Alligator mississippiensis: one gene and its partner. The protein of the gene in region 1 interacts with the protein of each later gene in a biochemical or structural test. Links are inferred from orthologs where the notes say so. Each region holds a gene or a part of one and is shown on either strand. Other genes may lie near its edges.

The links. The genes of interacting proteins can lie anywhere in the genome.
Region 2: the proteins of CDK9 (region 1) and CCNT2 form a complex in vitro, tested with the Homo sapiens proteins (4 studies listed by BioGRID, with this or other methods). The link is inferred for Alligator mississippiensis from reciprocal best matches to the Homo sapiens genes CDK9 and CCNT2.

What each region holds. Positions count from the first base shown.
Region 1 is NC_081835.1:57,369,717-57,379,921, reverse strand, and holds the start of CDK9 (cyclin-dependent kinase 9), read left to right. Parts: upstream 1-6,098; 5' UTR 6,099-6,195; coding exon 6,196-6,287; intron 6,288-6,549; coding exon 6,550-6,631; intron 6,632-7,336; coding exon 7,337-7,427; intron 7,428-9,839; coding exon 9,840-10,006; intron 10,007-10,205. UniProt on the Homo sapiens protein: Protein kinase involved in the regulation of transcription.
Region 2 is NC_081827.1:238,103,166-238,113,486, reverse strand, and holds the start of CCNT2 (cyclin-T2), read left to right. Parts: upstream 1-5,721; 5' UTR 5,722-5,859; coding exon 5,860-6,113; intron 6,114-6,877; coding exon 6,878-6,959; intron 6,960-6,971; exon of another isoform or gene 6,972-10,321. Other genes in the region: ACMSD (2-amino-3-carboxymuconate-6-semialdehyde decarboxylase), read left to right, coding at 2,665-2,733. UniProt on the Homo sapiens protein: Regulatory subunit of the cyclin-dependent kinase pair (CDK9/cyclin T) complex, also called positive transcription elongation factor B (P-TEFB), which is proposed to facilitate the transition from abortive to production elongation by phosphorylating the CTD (carboxy-terminal domain) of the large subunit of RNA polymerase II (RNAP II).

The DNA.
Region 1 (10,205 bases):
TTGGTTGGGACCGGCTGTGCTGTGCAGAGGCTCCGTTTTGCAGGGCCCCGCAGCTGGGACTCAGATGCTTGCTGGGGCAGGCGGCTGCTGGGTTGGGTTCTTTGGCTCTGAGTGATTGCTGAACAGCACAGGGCCTGGAGTGTGGGGAGGACCTCGTATGGACTTGGTATGGGGCATGGGAAGAAAAGGGGCCTGGTGTGGGGCAGCTCCTCAATCTGCCCCAGACCCTGAACTCCCTCCAGAGGGAGCGGAAGGCCATGGCTGTTCCCTTTCCCTGCCGGTTTGCTGGGAAGGCCACTTGCAGTCTCCTTGCTTGTCAGGCGATGCCCAACACATGCACAGTTGCAGAGGAGCAGCTGGGCTGGCACAGCTTGAAAAGGCTTGTAACACGATTAGCATTTCCCATGCTGTGTCAGAACCTGGCAGGGCCAGGAGGAAAACCTCAGGGTGAGCGCCGGGGAATGTGTTACTGAGGGGTGAGGGCAAACTAGGGACCAGAGCACAGGAGCTGGAGCAGGGCCTGTACAATATCATTCAGGCTTAGTAAGAAGCTCTTGCTGGTCAGACAGAGGCTCATTCCTCATTAGAGACAGTCTGTGCTTTGGTGTTTGTCCCTGTACATCCCTGATCCCTTTGTAAAGCACTTTGGGATGTGTGGTGTTTGCAGCCCCTGGAATCCTGTCTGGTTCTTTTACTGGACACATATTGTCTCGTCCTGCCCGTCTGCCAGCTCTGCTGGGTTCAATTTACCTTGTAAACAGGAAAAGGGCTTTGCATTTCCATAACACCTTTGGTCTGTGGATGATTGATAAGCAGGAATTCATTCTACCATGCTTTTGTTGAGGCAGCAAATAAGTGCCAATGCCAAGGCACAGAAAGGCTTGGTGACTTACCCAAGGTCCTACAGGGAATCTATAGCAGAATTGGGACTTGTATCCAGACCTCCTGAATCCCAAACCTATGCTTTCAGGAGAAAACCCTCCATTCTGCTTTCTGGGTACACAGTGCCGGTGACTTGATACAATAGTCACCGGCACTATAATAGATACAATAGTCGTGGTATGTTCTGGGCTTTCAAACATATTAATGTTTCTAGGACTCAGGGGCAGCGCTATGTGTATGTCACTGCTATGGGGTGCATTAATCAAGTGAGGGGAGTAAATGAGGAGCGGATGCACTGCAGGGACCTTTCCCATGTATGAGAACGATTGATGGCATCTTTCCCTTCAGCCTCCAAATCTAAACAGCTGCCAAAAGCTACAGAAAAATTAATGGAAGGTTATTTGCCTGCATATCACTCAGAGCTGAAGGCAAGATTGAATTTTGATGGATGATATCCCCATTTGTCAACAAGCTTTTTCCCCCCACTGTTATTGACTCACATGCTTGCTCTGGATTCAGGGGCCTTGCGTTACCTGCCCAGAGTGAAGCAAGCCGTGGAAGGCCAGAGAACCGGGGGGTGCGATTGCTTTGTCATAGTTCACATCAGCCTCGTGAGCGGATGTCTGCATCTCCTGCTGGGATGGTGCGGAGGCAGCAGGGTGGTGCTCTGATTGGGGGTCCTGAGAGCTACATCTTGGTTCACGCTTGTCTGGGTGGCTGTAGGACCCATGTGGTTCTGCAGTACAAGCTGGTGGCAGGGAGGTCACAGAGCTTCAACCTGCACTGCTTGTGCCTGACCGTACCTGCTGTCTGGTTAAGCAGACAACTGCAGAGCCACGGCCCTGGCAGTCCGCCACTTCCCTGAGCTCTGCATCGGCACAAGGGTTGTTACACTGAGCTCTCTGTTTCTGGAAGCAAATTTGAGAGCGTTGCCTCCGCCCCTAGTGCCTCTGCTCATTGTCTGCTCCTGTTTACTGTGTCGCTTCCTGCCAAACTCCCCAGGGGCCATAGAAGAAATCCAGTCCCCGGCCCCTGACATGGGGAAATGATACAACAGGATGGAGCAAAGCAGCTCTGGCGACAAGCGCTTGCCCCTGCATAACAATGAACTCTCTTGGAGCTGACTGAATTTGGTGATATGGGCCCCAACAAGCTGCCCAGAGACCTGCGAGGTGGTGATTCACCGGCACAGTGAGGGTGTGGGCAGCAGCTAGAGCATGACTGTCAGGGGAGCTGCACACTGTGCTCCCTCCCCTTGGACAGTCGCTCATAAACACACACTTTATCAGCTGGCTGTGCTCAGAGGAGCTACTTGTTGTTCTGCATGCACACAGCTCTTTGTCTCCGCAGAGATAGGTGAAGCCCCTGACATCACAAGGACCACCAAGCCAGACAGTCGGCCTTCACGACAATGGGTCAGCAGCTACCTGTGTCCTTCACGGTACCCTCTCCAAGGCACGCACGCACTCTCTGTCATAAGTAGATTCCTTCCCAGCACAGCTGAGCGTGTTTTATCTGCAGGCTTCCAAACACGAGACAGATAGAAAATGTTGTCTTCTCTAGTTTACTTGGAGCGAAAGGGGAACACCAGTAAACATCAGGCACAAAGGTTTCCAGCAAAGGCCATGATGGAAAATTTTCCTCTAAGCGACTTGCCTGAGTCTCTGACCAGCCCCAGGGCAGAGGCAGGATAGAACAGGAGTGCAGACACCCAGTCCCCCTGCTCTTGCTAGAAGGCAACTCTTCCTAGATAAGGCCTTGTCCACACTAGAAATGCTCTGATTGTGTAGCTGAATAGGCCTGCTCTCCTGTTCCAGCAGTTCTCTGAATGAAATAAGCTGTACCAGTTGGATATCGGCATCGGGATTATCCAGAAGCAACATTACTACAGTGGCAGAAGCTTCTGAGTAGAGCTGATCTAATGTCAATGGTGCACTGTATCCTCTATCGCGGGGGTCAAAAGGGTTTTGTACCACTGGTGTGATGGCAAATCACTGTGTAGGGGGGTGCTCGAGGGGCTGTTTCAGGAAGCAAAGGACAGAGAAGACTTTTGCCGGCACAGAACATCCCAGCACAGTGCAGAATTGTGGAATCCTTTTCTCTTGCAGGCAGGTGTCCCCATAGCTGGCGTCATAGAGACTGGTGCAGCCTGTTCGGACACATCCTATCCATCCCCTGGGGCCAGTGCAGGATTGTTCCCTCCACTGTGGATTGCAAATGCTGTGTTTTGGCAGGAAAAGAAGCTTGGGGCAGCTCGCTCCGCTGCCACGTGAGCTGGGTGGGAGTTTCCTTTAGGAAGGTGGAAAGTTATTGTATTCCTTGTGCTGCCTGGAGACTCATCAGGCCTGTTGATTAGAAGTCACTCTCCTTTCCAAACAAATGAGTTAGGACTGACAGGGCTGCCAATATGGTTTCCTAGCGGGGAGGCAAAATCATAAGACGATCACCTCCATACATGGGGCTCTGAGTCCATGGGGCGGGAAGGGACTTGCTGCAGTGGGCAGAGGGCTGTTCCTTCCCTGAGCAAATGGTAGAACAGAAAGGAAATGTGGGGTGATTGGTAAGGATCACTTATCCCTGCTGAGACTGGATAAAGCTGCTGCAAAGTTGTGCTGCCCTACTGGAGAGCTGCAGCCCTGTGGCAGGGGCTGCAGGCTTCCCTCAGTCCCTAACACAACCTGCCCCATTGCTATGTGGATCATCTGTTGAAAGACATGCAGTGCCCTAGCCTGGAAGCTGGGAAATACCAGCAGGTGGTGCCCAGAGTGAAAAGGTACCACTCGGGCAGGCAGAAGGTACCACAGAGCACAGCGTGCTCAGGGGTCAGGCAAGCACAGAGCCTGTGTCCCCGGGACGAGGGCCGGCATGCACCACACTCATCCAGATGACAGAATGGAAAGTCCCAGAGAATTCCTCTCTGATTGATGAATGAAATCTCTTCCTCAAAAATGCTGACTAGCAAAAGGACTGACCAATGAATCTGGAGAACAGCTCAGGTCCCACTTCCAAGATCTTTGTGTTCCTGGAACCCAAGGATATCTGAATCACTTGTGTCAGTTGGAACCACTAATGAATCTAGTGCCATGAGGCTGGGAAAGGCATCTGGGGGGAGGAGGGGGTTCAATTTCTGTTGCCCTGAATTGAAATGAAAATGGTTTCCTCCTTATCTCACTCCAGCTAAGGGGCAGGAAATGGATATAAATCAACATAGTGGAGTCAGAGACACAAGCCTTTATGCCTGCCGAGGCTCTGGCCACAGAAAACATCTGACACAGCTCCCAAAGGTCAGAGAAGAGACAGGGGACAGGGGAGCCACTGGGGCCAGTGTCCAGGCATCATAGAAGGGCTGAGAGGAGCACTGGACGCAGCGTGGGAGGGCTCAGAGAACAGGCAGGTGTTGCAGCAATGGATGCTTATGAAAACTGACCCAAGTGTTGGGCTCTCTCATGGGCACTGTCCAAACTGGCATCTGTTTAGGGCTCTCTCCACTGAGACTCATAGAGGCTATCAGTAAATACTGCTGGTGTGACAGGCTTTTGCTGCTGGTACTCTAACCTGTCTCTTTCTAGCTTACAGACCTGAGAATCATGGAAGAGAAGTGACTCGCCAAAGGTCACACAGTAGGGCAGTTGCAGAGCCAGTTCTGACTCCAGTTGCCTGCTTTACCCACTAATCACTGAGCCCGTCCCTCTCCTTGCCCCATCAGCTGTTTTTCCCTACATCTGTCTCCTCTGCCTACCTCTGTCCCTTGAAAGCTGGGCTTGGCTTTGACGTTTATCTCAGGACTGCTGTAAGAGCTAATCCTTTCTCTGCCTGCCTGCTGCGAATGATCTCTTCTCTTAGCTGTCTCGGAGCCCCCTGCTGGCACTCTGCTTATGTAGCCACCTGTGGCACCCTGACGGCTGCTGCTGCATCCGAGCACGCTGCCAAACTGTAACGTGGGCAGTAGGCAGATGTCACGGCGCTGGCCTCCTGGAGGGGAGCACGGGACGCTATGGAGGTGATTTAACTCAGTGACGCAGCTGGATGCTGCACTGATGCAATGCTGATGTGCCGGATAGAACGAGTGTCCTCTGCATGAGGGCATGAGGGGGTGTCACGGCGTGAAGCAACGATGCTGAGACACAACAGGATGGTTCAGTGTGGCACTGTGACTCAGGATGCGTTGCTGTGGCGTGTAGGCACAGGATGATGATGCAGAGGTGCCTGCGATTACTATTCCTTCTTTTCCTTCCCAGACTGACAAGAGGCCAGAGCCTGGTATTAGGGCCTTGTTACACCTTACACTATGAGCTGCACAAGTATAGATGGGGGGTCAGTGCTGGCTCGGGTTTGGAGCGGTCACACTTCAGGCCGGAGGGGGCCTGGAGGACTGAAAGGTAAGAACCCCCCCTCCCCTTCTGGGCTTCCCCCAGTCCCCTGCCTCTGGGGCTTCCTCCGTTCCCCCCTTGCTTCCCCTCACTAGAGCACTACTTACTTGTAGGTAGGTGGCAGAGAGCAAAGCCCTGCCCTGGCGCTCTGAGCCCCGCGCCACCACGAGCGCTGCAACCCAGCTTCAGGTGCTGACGCGTGGACAATCTGGGGGTTACGAGCCCCAGGAGCCACAAGGCCCTGCCAGACCCTGGGCAGCCCTGGCAGAGGTCCTGCTGGTGCCGCAGGCTCCGGTCTCTCAAGGGTCGGAGGAGAAAGCCCACGACGCTCCCATGAGGGATGAGTATGGCAGGGCACCCGGCGCCCGTCACTGCAGCTGGCACCCATGGGTGAGCGCACCTGGCAATGTACAATGCACTGAGGCTATGCGCAAGCCTAAAGATAGTGGACAGGAGGCCATACACAGCTGTCCCAGGGCTGCTGCAATGAAACAGGGGTGACGTCACAGGGGCGCCTTGACGTCACGCCGCCGTGTGACGACACCCCGGGGGACGCGAGTGCTGGGAGGAGGGGGCGGGGCAGGTGGATGCTCCAGGGAACAGTGCGATGACGTAACGTTCGCAGTCGATGACGCAACCGACCGCGAGGCCACGCGTGCGTCACTCAGCGAGCACGCGGGCCAATCACACACGCAGCGCGGGGCGGGGCAGGCGCGGATCCCCGCCCAATCCGCGCCCGCGTGACGGCCTCTCGATCCGCCCTCTTCTCGCGGCTCTTCCAGAACCATAGCTCCCAGCGGGCAGCGCGGCGGCGCCCCGGAAGTAGTGGAGCATGGCCGGCGGATCCGGAAGCCCCGGGCGAGGCGCGGGCGGCAGCGCGCCGGCTCTGAGCGAGCAGGCGGCCCCGCGGCGGGCCGGGCCGGGCGGCGGTGGCAGCAGCAGCATGGCCAAGCAGTACGACATGGTGGAGTGCCCCTTCTGCGACGAGGTGTCCAAGTACGAGAAGCTGGCCAAGATCGGCCAGGGCACCTTCGGGTGAGCGCCCCCCGCCCCGCCCCGCCGCTCCGGGTACAGGCCCCGGGAGCCCCTCCTGCCCCCGCCCCCCCGGCCTGGGGCCTCCCGGGGCTGCGCGAGCCCGTCCCCGCTGCCCTCCTCGGGGCTTCCTAGGGGCCAGCTGCCCCCTCCGGGCCGAGCAGCCGGCCCTGCCCCGGGTGGGGGGAGGCAGTTGGGTCTGGCTCGCCCTCGCTGGGCTGCGGCCACTCGCGCGTGGCTGAGCGCGGCCTCTTTCGCCCCGCAGGGAGGTGTTCAAAGCCAAGCACCGGCAGACGGGCAAGAAGGTGGCGCTGAAGAAGGTGCTGATGGAGAACGAGAAGGAGGGGGTAAGGCAGGCGTGCGGTGTGTTGGGGGCGGCTAGAGCCCTGTAATACCCCGGGCAGAGTTGTTGGGAGGGTGCAGGTTGTTCGTGGGGCACTTTGCTGCTGGGCTCCGTAGCCACGTTGGTGTCTGTCTCTGCAACGTGTGAGGCCGTTTCCATCCAGCAAGCGTGGTGCGCTCGTATGCAGGGGTAAGGTTGCTTGGTGCTGTACCTCTCTCGTTAGCCTCGTGGCTGCCCTTGCCTTGCGGGACGGACCCCAGTGAGACACTGAAGGGGGTGAGCGCTTTGCTGACCTGGCTTGTGTCCACCACGTGGGTCTGGTCCACCTGTCAAGTCTGAATTGCCAGCAGTAGGGTCAGAAGCAGAATAGATCTGCACCCTTTCCCCATCCCAGGTTAAACTGGGTGCTGTGGAATAAAGGTCTGTTCCCCTGAGGATTTTCAGCACCCGCAGCATTCACCGTCTTTGCTAAGAGCGCTCGGCAGCTCTCGCATCAGTCTTGGTTTGCAAACATGCCTGGAAGGCACCGAGCACAGCTTTGGGTTTCCACCAAGTTGGGCTCAGCGTCTCGCTCTAATTGTATTTGAGGTCTGTGTTGTTTCTGTTTGAGTGTTTCCGCTTTGTCTCTTTAATCCTCTCAAGGGCTCCAGACCAGTCTGATATGATCCTTTGCCATCCTAACCGGTGGGCCTCATTTCTCCTTTTTCAGTTTCCTATCACAGCCCTGCGAGAGATTAAAATCCTTCAGCTGCTCAAGCATGAGAACGTGGTGAACCTTATAGAGATCTGCAGGACCAAAGGTATTGTTTTGTTGTTCCCCTCTTGGCTCATGTCAGCTGCTTTCTGGAGTATCCAGTAACATTGGCCTGCTGGGTGACTGGGTGCACATCGCTTTCCTCCCTTTGCTGCAGTTCCCCTGTCTGCACAGAGAGAGCAATGCTATTGACCCTTTTTGTAAAGCAGTTCAATCCCTACTGGTGGAAAGTGCTGTGTAAGAGCTAGGAGGTGTGCTATTTGTAATGCATCATTCCTACATGAGATGTAAGATAGGAAGTCCAGGGGATCTGGCAAGGCATCAGCTTGTACTTGGTTGTATTGTAACTCATGTAGATGAAGCTTTCATAGACTCCTTTGAAATATTGTGCTACAACAGTGAAAGGCCTGCGTACATATCTGTCTTTTGTATACAGGAAAGCTCATGCTTTTGTGTGTGTTGCCTTAAAATCACACTGGAGAGAAACCTGATGTAAATTTCTTGTCCTGAAATTGATTTTTTTTTTCCTTTTAAAGCATCAATAGATATAAAATATATCTATTCTGTGTTGCTTTTGCAGCAGTAGCTGGATTTATTTAGCACAATACAGGGTGACTATTTAACTCTGGTTTTATAATAGTACTTTGGCTCAGTGTGTTCACTTACTGTTGCTTGGGGAGGAACTGCCTATACTTTAGTAGATGAATTCAATGGCTTTCCATTTTCACAGTGCAGTTCCATCACTTGAATGCCTGCTTGTTCTTTGACTCGTTGTTTTGTGGACAGTTTCTGGCAGGGAGGATGTTGCCTCTTCTCTACAGGACCTAGCATGTAAGGCCACTGGAAGCGAGTAGATAAAAGTTAATTTTTAAAAAGTTTTTAAAATTTTTAAACCAAATATAGGTTTTTGATTTTTTGTTTTCTTTTAAAAATAAACCTGTTTGACATCCTGACAACTTTAATGGATGATGGTAAGCATATGTGCTAAAACTGCCAAGGCTTAAATAAAAATTCAAGCAGTGCCTGCCAGGTGTTGAAATTGTAAAGAAAATCATGCCACTGAAATGATGGAAATCTCTGGTTTAGCCCCTGGAGTCAGTCTGCTAAAGTGCCAAATCGGTTTTTGATAGCATTTCATTCTCTGCACCTGGAGAAGAACATTGTTCGTTTTGGTTCATTCAGCTAGTTCAGTTCACTGACTTGTTTTCAGTTCCCAAATCTGGGCAAACAAGCTTTCTTTCCTATTGCTTTCTTTCACTCTATGGAATGCCAAATAAGGCACTAGAATGAGATGCTAGTTTTTAAATGTTGTAGGGCATAATGGCCAGAAATAATCGCTACTGATTCATAGTTAGTTTACACTAACTAGCTATTGATTCGTTGACCAAATGGATCTTGTTTCTCTCTTTTTTTTTTTTTTGTGCCCAGCAAGTCGGAGGGGACCAACAGACATTGGGGGAGTCCCTGTTCCCCCGAGCACTACCAGGAGTGACTAGAAATAACGGTCACAAGCTGGCAGAGGGTAGATTCAGACTAGACATCAGGACGCGCTGCTTCAGTCAGGGTAGTTAGGATCTGGAACCAACTTCCAAGAGAAATGGTGCTGGCTCCTACCCTGGGGGTCTTTAAGAGGAGGCTAGATAAACACCTTGCTGGGGTTGTTTGACCCTAGTACTCTTTCCTGCCATAGCAGGGGGTCGGATTTGATGATCTGCTCAGGTCCCTTCCGACCCTACCAACTATGAAACTAAGGTTCGGCTAGCTCTATTCGACTAATAAGAAATGGTTGCAAAGTAACTTTGCGTTACTGATTAAGCTTCAGTTTCTGGCTGAATAAATGCAGGGGTTTGGATTCGATGATCTATTGAGGTCCCTTCCGACCCTAACACCTATGAATCTATAAATGTTTACACAAATCATAAAGAAATGTTATTTACCACTTTCTAACAAATTTAAAAATGTAAAACAACTTAAGAACCTGAAAGGTTGTTTACTCCACAACTGTTTAAATGGTTTGTCATCCTTCAAGCACATTTGGTTTTTGTTTTTTCCTTGTGCACCTTACCATGACTTTGACCTTCATGCCTCCTTCTCTGGCCTCTGCTTTTGATACCTTTTATGGATAATCCAGGTGGGAAGACTCTTGGGCCAGAGACTTATTTTTCTGTCTCTTGGTGATGTTTCAGTAATCTCTGTAGGTGACCAGACAAAAAAGGACAGGCAGGTGTGAGGCTGTGTTCAGCCCTGACTTGTGCTTAACTGCCTCTAACATGGATGTGAACATCTTCCCTTTGCATGATATGGTAGTGTTTACCTCAGAATGGTGCTAGCACTGAGGCTGGATAGCATCTTGATGCTGTGGCCTTAGAGCATGGTAATGGGGGAGCTAGTGACCAGTTTCGGGGGGCGCAGTCTTGGTGACTGACCTTTCAGCAGTTGCCCCTGGCTTGTCCCTTAGCCTCCCCATACAACCGCTGCAAGGGCAGCATCTACCTGGTGTTTGACTTCTGTGAGCACGACCTCGCCGGCCTGCTCAGCAATGCGCATGTGAAGTTTACGCTGTCAGAGATCAAGAAGGTGATGCAGATGCTGCTGAACGGACTCTACTACATCCACAGGAATAAGGTAAAGGGCAGAGGCTGGATTCTCTCTCTTCCCTGTAGCTCCAAGGCTCAGATTTCAGGGGCCATTTATGTATCTTTTGATAAATAGGCACCTGAACGCTGGCCACTGTGGTTCTGTCCAGACTAAGTCTTGAGAACATACACTTTTATCATCCCTGCAGAGCTACACAGACAAATTCTTGGCTTCGGGGTTTTAGGTT
Region 2 (10,321 bases), on another chromosome or scaffold:
GCGTTCATTGACCTAAGGCCTTTGATTTAATCAACAAATAAGTCCTATGGAAGATCTTGATGAGATTTGGATGTCCGTTAAAATTTGTTACCATCATCAGACTCCTTGTCAAAATGACAGCAAGCAATTCTTTGCTTAGTGGTTTGGAAATGGCCCTCATCATTATTAGAACTGGAGTTAAGCAACGATGTGTGATTACACCAACACACTTTTCCATCTATATCACAGCCATTCTGCATTTTATTGCTGATAGACTTCCACCTGAAATCAGCAACCAATATCATGTGGATGGGAATTTCTTTAACATTAACTGATTCATTTCCAAATCCAAGATAACAGTATTATTCAGCTGACCAGAACAGCATTCTAAACCGTGGTCTAAACCATGCCATGTACAGTGATGCTAGTACCTCCCTGTGTGTACTAAATGCACTCCACCTTATCACTCCAGCATTGTGAAAGTCTTTTTCAGCCTTTCCCATCAGTGGCTCATGGTGATTCTATAATCATTCAATATACCCTCTTTTCCTCAGTTGTCGTCGGTCTAGGGGCATCCCCATCTTACAGCTGAAATCTTTTACAGTGATCCTTAAGTGCATGATTTTGTACCTCATACTATTGAACTTAATTCTATTTCTAAAGCTCCATTCCACAAGGTGATTGAAATCTTCCTCTGTAACAGGGGTACTCAACTTGTGATCCATGGGCCAAATCTGGCCTGCAGAGCAATGGTATCTAGCCTGTGGCGTTCCTCACAGATCACAAAATTTGTCAATGGGGGAATAGTAACAATTAACAAAGCTACCCCTCCCTTGCTACCAAATTCCCAAACCCTTCTCATTCAGGTTGAGGGCTGAGCCGCACTGTCTTTCCCCCATGTGGCTGGATCAAAGCCAAGCTGCCTCCCACCCCACTCCATACAGCTAGACTAGGTCCACTTGTTGGCTCTGGATATAGAACCCGGACCCAGAGGCCTTGTTCCAGGTGGGGACCCACCCTCAGACTGGCAACAACCTCTCCATTCAATAACAGGCAAATTTATTGTTACACAGTGATAACAGAAAAGAAGCAATACTAACAATCAAGCAAGTCTATATATCTACCAAATCCTAGGTCTGTCATCAGAGTCAAAGTACATCTGGCCAGGATGCAGTCTCCACTCTGAGGCTCTTTCTTAGGTGTCAGATGTCCAACAGTCAGGAGGTGGGATGCCGAGGCCCACAGCCCTTTCCAGTGGGGTGGATGAGATGGGCTGCTCATATGCCCTCCATGATGGCCTCAGGGACCCTTCCTGGGGGAGGGGAATCCCTCTCAGGGAGGAGAAGGACAGGGATGAAACGAGGAAGGAGGGAGAAGGGACAAAGGGGGGGATGGACAAAGGGAAGGACTCTTTGTTACTCTCAAGTCTCTGCTTTTGTATCCTTCTTCCCTCTTCATGACTCCTGATGACTCTTGATCCATGGCTATCTCTGGTTGGTTGTCTCTCTGTGGTCACACTTCCACATACTGTATCGTCACCACATTCCAAACTCATCACATGCATACATAGTCATTTGGTCTTTCTGGGCCTTCTCCTAATTTGGTCTGTTCTCCCAAAACCAGGACACAGCTGCCCTCCACCCCCACTCCCTGCTGCTGCTCTGGGGCCTTGCAACTGGTGTCACTTTATTTCATCTTATGGGACAGTATGGTATATGCTCCCAGTTTCCAGGCTGTTTTCTAGACTGGTATCCTTGTTGTGTTAGACAACCTGTCTGCTTCGAGGGCTGTGAGAAACTTTGTGTGTGAGACCCAAGCTCTTTAGAAATCAATTAATCCCTGCTGTCCATCAATTATAATATATCTATCTATACCTATAATCCAATTCCCCAAAAAACAAACCTTTAAATACCATTTCTAAGCCAACACCACTGGCTGGATCCAGTGGCAGAACTGGGCACCGCCCATCTGGTCCACGAGGCAAAAAGAATTAGTGTCCCTGCTCTATAATAACCTGGTCCTTTTCTGCATTGGGAAAATCCTCCAATTGTATTGGAAAAATCACCCAACTAAGTGTCAGGCTTGCCACGGTGCACCTGAATCCACTACAACTGTTTTGTAATTTGCCTGTTTGTAATTTTGGGGGTTATCTTCACTTACTGCAAGGCAGGAATGAGACAAAACAGTGACAGTGGATCAGCTGATATGTGCTCCCAAGCAATGCATCTCCTTCCCCTTGAAGTCCTCTGCCCATGTCCTTTGCTTCCCTACAGGCCCTTGCTAGCAAGCAGGAAATAGTCAGGCCCGTAACATATAAAGTGATAACAGTTTTTTCTCAATCTATAGTATCTCCTTCTCCACACAATGAGATGAAAGAAACCTCATAAGAAAATTCTTCTGTGCTTTCCCACTCCTGATCTCCAGCTTAAAGGCTCTTTAAAAAGTATGTCCATATCTAACTAACATCTATTCCAGCTCTGCACTTGATCCAATAAAAGATATCACTAAAAAGTAGTTGCCTATCTATATGTGTCCTGAACCATCACATCTACAACACTTTAACCCTCCTCCTGCAGAAAATTCATTGGTAAGAGATAAATACAATCCTCTTTCCAGGGCTTAGTTGTTAGCATACAAAATATTTGTAAGGTTCTCTACATAAATACGTCTTCTATTTTTTTTCAGGACAAACTCAAAGCTGGAAATGCTCTGGAATTTTTGGGACTTGATAGAAAACAATTTGTATCACTTTGAAATTACTAGAGAAACCAAACAAGCACAATGGAGCATCTTCTATATATCTACATCAGTGTGTTGTGCATACCTACACACAGGCAAACATATGTTTCTACTATACTAATGTCAAATAAACTCTGCTAATAAATGATTTACTGTTACTGATCGTAAAAGCAAGGGCACTGGAAATCTGGGGATTTCTCTGCATCCTTAGATCTTTGAGGATCCTTCTTTCCTCCAGAATGGGACAGGTCATTGCTTCCAGCTGTTATAACCCACTGAACTTTAATCAGCACTCTTGAAAAGCTAACTCAGAGATTTGTGAATGGCATGCCTTTTCAGTCTTTGCTACCTAGGAAGCCTAATGAACACAGTTTGAGTGCCAACACTTGCCTATATATCACTGCTCATTGTTTCATCAGAAATATCCATATGAATGTGTCTGGGACTATAAGATCTTTAGGGCATAAATCGTGTTCTCTTATTTGTGTGGAAAGTGTTTTGCACATTATTGGCGTTACCAGAATAAAAATAAATAAAGAACAATAAACAGTGTGGTTTGATGTTCCATTCACTTAAAACAGGTATTTCACAGGAGGCTCCATGTTCTAAATAGAAAAACACATTAACATTTTTATCACATTGTACACCTGGGAATTATTCTGTAGGATATGATACCCTTTATCTAGGAAGTCCCAGTGTTCTAGGGTGGTGAAAGGTAGGTTTCCTACATCAACATAGGTTTAATCTATGTTGCTTCTCCAAGAAGTCTGTATGAAAGGCATGAACTTCAGAAGCCCTGAAGGTGTGCAGCACCTCATTAGACCAGGTACTGAGAGTTGGGAATCAGATGTCTATGTAGAGAAGGAAGGGAAAGTGGGTAACGTGACTTTAGTTAACTTTCACCATACTGTGACCTACAAGCCCTTCACTGGCAGTTCATGACTAGAGGACGTGAAAGACAAGGTACACTGTCTTTTCCTTTCAAATGTTTCTGTCCTTTAAAGTTTGTAAGTATATAGCTCTACAATTATTTTATACAAGTCTTCAATTATTTGACTGTTCGACAATTTATCCACCAGGAATTCCAATCAAGGCTGTCTAGGTGGTGACCTATGGGCCACATTCAGTCTGAGTGGGCTAAAATTGTGATATGCAGGCTCCTGCCTGGCTGCCACTCCTCCCACTGTTCCTAATGCTGCAGTGGCAGCCAGTCTTTGGGCAGGGCAGCACAGAAGGGGAAATGCTGCCCACACCCTTGCTGCCCACCAGGTGTAAGAGGGGGCTTTGCTGCTTGCACAGTTAGGGCAGTGAAGTGGAAGGAGAGCTCACCTGCATGGCAGTGGTAGTGGGGAAGGGCTCACATGAGGTGCAGGGGCTGCACATGGCAGGGGTCACAGGAGACTGCATGGCATGAGGCCCCCCGCAGCATGTGGCACATTTAGTGTGCAGCTTGGGCCCTGCATCTGGTGCAGCCTGTGACTCCCAGCTGCTCTGAAGCTGGACAGAACAGCCCTGTTTTAAGAAAACTTCAGTGGGGAAAGAGGCATCTTCAATTTTACACAAGGTCTCTTCCTCATGACCTTCCCACCAACTCTCTTTGCTTCTTTCAGATGTTTGAATGGATTTAGGAAAAAAAATAAATCTTAATTGCTCAAATACATTTTAATCAGATTAATACATTCTTAATTAATTTTCCTTTGCAAAACCCTTGATCTATCATATTAGCGAGACTACAATATTTATGTCTTTTGAGACTGCAGGCTGGAACCTCTCCAATAACAAGAAAACATATTTGATTACATTAAACCGTTACTTAATGATCACAGAATTCTTCACGGTAATTAATTAATGTGGCCTCTGAAGACGTACAGCATCGTGTGTGTTAGATATAAAATAAGATCTATTACTGAATAAAGCTATTTATGCTCGATGCCTCTGGCTCGGATTTTGCAGCCTGCGGGGCAATCCTCTATCTCCTCTTTTTTAATATATAGTTTAACGCGAATATTATGTAAATGGATCTTGAAGAGAAAAGGAAGTTTGCAAAATAATTATCCCAAGTACAGGCAGTCCTCAGACTTATGACACAATTGGTTCCTGAAAACCGTGTCTTAAGTCGAAACGTCGTAACTCGGAACCGATTTTCCCATGGGAAACAACGTTATAAATGGGGACGGGTTCCTGAGCCAAGGCCCGATACCCTATTTTCACCCAAAACAACCCAGAATTTTGTATTTAATCAATTATAGATGAGTAACGTATTTATATTGCAAATAGCAATCATATTGATTTGGAAGGACTTCTTTGAGGTGACTTGGCTGGGCCTTTTGACGGGCTCTTGGTTGGACGTTTTGAAGGACTCTTGGCCCGAGTCTCCTCGGGAATCTCGGCTGCAGGTTTTTCCGGCGTCTCGTCCGCTTTCTTAAAGAAAAAGCGTCCAAGGAAGCTTGCACAGACGTTCTCTGGGGAGACGGACGCTGCGGCAAACTTGTTTGCAGACGCCCGATCCAGAGTCAAGTCGAACCTTACGTCAGAAAGCCGAAACGGGATGGGTCTGAAGAGCAACACGTCGTAACTCGAAACGATGCAAGTCGAGGACCTCGAACGACATGCACCCGACGCGTTATACCACTTCCACCAACAAGTCTCCAAGGAAGCGTTAATCTGATTGCAATACAACAGCTGGAAAACTTCCTGTGTCCAAGACGGGAGTTCCCAAAACTTCCAGGTTGAAAAGATGAGCAGCAAGGCTACCCCCACCTCCCTGCTCCTCAGCCCTCTGGGCTCGAGGCCCCGCCTCCAAACATCAAGGGCGGGGCCCCGGGGGCGGAGCCAGCGTCAGGACAAAGACCGCGAGGCCAAGCCCCGCCCCCTGCCTCCGCGAGTTCTCCCTGCCCAATCCGCGCTGCGGAAAAAGGGCTTTAACGTCATTTCCGGAGCCTCTTCCAGCCCCCACCCCTCGCCGGCCGAGCGGGCGGGAAGAAAGGGGGGGAAATGCCCATGCTCTTCCCGCGCTCTGTATGGCGCAGCCGTGCCACGTGACCGTCCCTCTCCGCGCGGCGCTCTGGCCTCGCTGCCTCGCCACTCTATGGTGGCAGCGGATTAGACCGCCGCCGGGCGCCGAGTTCTCGCGAGAGCGGCATGGAGGGCGAGGCGGCGGGCGGGGCGGCCGGAGCTGGCGGAGGAAGTGTCATGGCGGCGGCGGGGAGCGGGGCGGGCGCGGCGGCGCGGGGTGGCGGTGGCGGCGGCTCCAGCACTGCGTCGCGCTGGTTCTTCAGCCGGGAGCAGCTGGAGAGCACGCCGTCCCGGCGCTGCGGCGTGGAGGCCGACAAGGAGCTCTCGTACCGGCAGCAGGCGGCCAACCTCATCCAGGACATGGGCCAGCGCCTCAACGTGTATCCGCCGGGCCGGGCCGGGCCGGGCCGCAGCCTCCAGCCGCTGCTGGCTGCGGCCTCGCGGGAGGGCGGGGGCAGTGTGTGGCGGAGGAGCCCCGGGGTCGGGTTTCCTTGGCCTGCTCGGGCCTGCGGGCAGGAGGCTCCGGCTCGGCCCCCAGGGCTCTCCCTTCCCCTCAGCCGTCAACGCTTTCATTAATATTATGAGGATTGTCTATCTGAGGCAGCAGCAGCAGCACCCAAAAAAAGGCCCCGCTCTTGCCTGCTGGTTGCTGCAGCTTAATAGAGGGAGCCGAGCTTAAACAGGTGCTCAAAATACTCCTGGAGGCGAGGAGTCTCCTTCCCGTGGCAGCTCTCATGTGCAGCCCAACGAAGGATGGGGATGTTTTGGGGTTTTTTAGACGAAGCCTTGGCTCTGGGATGATGTAGCTGGGTCTGGCCCTGCTTTGAGCAGGGGGTTGGACTGGATGTGACTTCCCGAGGTCCTTTACAACCCTTGTTTTGGCCCAGCATTCGGAAGAACCCAGGGATCCTCTGAATGCTTGGCCAATGGAAAGCATAACATACAAAAAGGAACTTATCGCTAGATGTTAATGTACAAGGCACTAGCACGAGCGTGTTGTACCAGTGGTGTGTCCCAGCCGAGCAGAGCTGGCTCGAGTTACGTCCCCAGGAGGGACGTGTTGTAGGGGAGAGTCGTGGCTTGATGATGATCTTAATTTGTTACTCCTTTGGTGATGTGAAATTTCCTTAATGCTGTCTTTCAGGTCTCAACTTACAATAAATACTGCAATTGTTTACATGCACAGGTTTTATATGCATCATTCCTTCACAAAATTTAATAGGAATGTAAGTACATTTTTGCATGCCTATCTGTGCTTGTGTGTGCGTGACGTGGAGGGAACAGCCGACTTTTTTTTTTTTCTATATGTGCTAACTCTTGGAGGTTAAAGTCTCATTATATCTTGGGAGATTGTAGCTTTGTGTCAACCGCTATTTTAGAAGCATTATTATTTAAAATTAAATAATTTTATTTAAATAAATAAATAAATACATTTTATTTATTTAAAGCAAAGACTAATGATTTCTCTTGTTATGCTAAAGAATAAATGTATAGGCCAACAGCTTAGCTTGTATTAGTTGCTGGTATTAGTTATTGTATAACTTTTATTTTAATTATGCTTATCTGGCTAGTGTTAGTGCCTTGTAGTTTTGAAAATTGGATATGAGATCTGAGGTCCCTTTCTACCCAAATTTTCTATGATTCTGTGAGAACAAACAATACATTGCTTACTTTTGCGCACATATCATGACCAGCCAGCAGAATTATTGTTGGCTTCTCTGTTTATAAAAGCCACCATTAAGTTATGTAACAACTGGCCTTCCTCAAGTAACTTAATGGCCAGTAATAGTAGAAAATAAAAATCCATTCTTGCAAGCAGGCCCAGTTATCTTGTGAATAACCTACCAGGTAACTTGATGTTAAATCTTTAATAAAAATTAAAAATAAAAATCCTGGTTGTAACTGAGTGTTTTAACTCTTACTGGTTGGTGTCATAGCTTAAGATTCTGATTAATGTGAAATCACAAACCTATTTTTCACGTCAGTTGTATGGGCTGTAAAAGTAAAAAAAAATATTGACTTGGTGGTTTCTTTGTATTAAGAAACAGCATTTTTTTTATATTTGTTTGTATCCCATGTATAAAAATAGTTGATAATGGAAGGAAATCTGTTGCTTGAGTGGTAAGGAAAGGCCTTGGCTACACCATAAAAAAGTTTTTGGGGCGGGGGGGGATGTTTTTGGTTTTTAAGGCTGATGTGAAATGTGTTTTTATTTTGGGTTTGTTATCAAGTTTGTTTTTATTTTGTTTGTTTTTGTAATTTGTGGGCATTGAAGTAAGAAATACTCCATGTCTCTTCATAGAACATTGGTGATTCCCCAGACAAATTTCACAGCCATCCTGAATTTTTTTGCCACAAGGAAGCCTAAGGCGAATTTGTAGTAAACTGGTTACTAAACAGTTGCAGTGTGTTTAGGCCTTAGTTACAAATAATATATTTAAGGCTCTGTTTATATAACAAGAATAATTGTCTAAATGCAGTTCTGGGATGTGATTGTCCCTTGTGCTTGGACACTACTACTTGAATGAAGAAAAGTGATGCCCTGAAAATGCTAGGGAGGAGGCAGTCTGTTAAGTGCTAGGAGGACATGCCTAGATTAAAATGTCATTCCCTAAAATAGTTTTCTATTTTCAAGGCAAGTAAAGTGTTAAAACAAGATTAGGACACACACATTTATCACAATAGCATATAAGCATAGTATATTTTGGTAGATACAAGTTAATTATGGGTGTCTTGTAGATCCTTTTAAAGGCACTAGAAACTATGTACGTCATCCATCTTCCTTATTACGATGGATAAGTGTATAATCTGAAAAATGCCAGCATGTGGAGCATTAGCCAGTAAGATGTCAAAATATGTTTATGGCTCCTGTGTACAATTTATAGCTCTTCCAAATGAGGCAATTTCACTTGGAGTGGTGGTTTTCTTTAACATATTGTTTCCACAACTCGGATTGGTGGTGTATGGGGTAAAGTAATCCATTGGATAACAAAAAAAAAAAAAAAAAAAATCTAGTAACAAAATTCAGGCTCAGTAGTAGTTGGGATGGTTGTCAACTGCCATTTACTACACGTTAATAAATATGGTCACTTAGTTCTTGCTAGTACAACTAATTTTGTAAGGAGAGCTGCATTAAATAACTAGTGGTTTGAATGATAATTCAGGTTGCAAGTTACTCTTGGTTGTAAATATGGACATTTTTATATTGCTCTAAAAGTTAAACACTAGCACATTCTGACCTTCAGAACACCTGTCTTAGTGTTGTTGCCAGATAACTTAGCATTTGCTGTGCCTGTAATATCAGACAGTGGCTTTTATATTTGTGTTGATGCACGGGCATCAAATGCGCTGCTTTATTTTTGTTCTTTTTCTATTCTTTTAGGGTGAAGGGGGTGGTCTCAAAGAGAATGCAAGTCAGATTTAAATTCATACTCCCAAGCCATCTGGCAAGTTCTTTATAGAAGGGCAGAGGCCAAAGACCAAAATAAATACTTATCAAAATCTTCTGAATGCTTGGCCAGTTGAAAGCCAAACATTCACTCACTGCAAGAAGAAATTTATCACTAGATGTTAATGTACAAGGCACTAGCAATCTTCAAAGTAAGGTTAGCGGAGTTTCTTACAAGTATGTGTCTAATTGTTCTTGTACATGCACTGGGACTGTGGGCAGACCATGACAATACACTATTTTAAGCAGGAGAGGAGGATGCAACTTACTGTTCAGGAGTGAATGAAGCACATCTAAAATTAACAACAGTTTCTGTCCATTAATACCAATGACCTGGACAGATGAAATTGTCTCATTGCTTCCACATGACTTGTGGTAATTGTTTTCATTTGTCTGTATCCTTTGCTGTTCCTTTTTACTCATGGCAATGAGAAATTTGAAGATTGGGCATGAAAATTAGGCATGTCAGTTAGTCACCCGAGTTACGATCTCAAGCTTTCATGCCCTTGCTTTTATTAGTAGGTGAATTTCCTTTAGCACTAAATACTTAATGCATGTACGTTACCTACATGCATAGTGAAGTGTATTTAAAGTGAGGAAACGTTCACTGAATAGCTCAATTCTGTTCTTGCATTTTTTAACTGATATATATAATCTTGAAATTCTACAATGTGTTAACTGTTCATATGGACATAGGCAGACCAGCAAAACACTTCAGAGTATACAGTTACAGTTTGGTGTTGAGCATGCTGGCAATTAATCAACATAGCTGAGCCATTTTTAAACTTGTTAAATATATTTTATGTTAACAGTATGTATAGTTGGTATAGGCCAGCTGTACATTGTTTGGATACCTACTGCACATTTGAAAGGGTCACTTTTTCACTAGTTAGAGGTTCACATATGGTTTGCCTAACATCTTTTAGCAGTAGTTCAGATTCAGATTATGGTTTCTCAGTGGCACTGTTGACGGTGATTTAACTGGCCTGAGTTTTTGCTGATTTATACACTTTGTGGTGGTAACATTGTAGTAATTTTGTTGAAGGAAGGTGCCAGCCACATAAGCTTGTAAAGTGTCTCTGTGAAAGTTTTCAGAAAATTACACTGTTCTTACAGCTGATGTCTAGTAATTGTAACTCA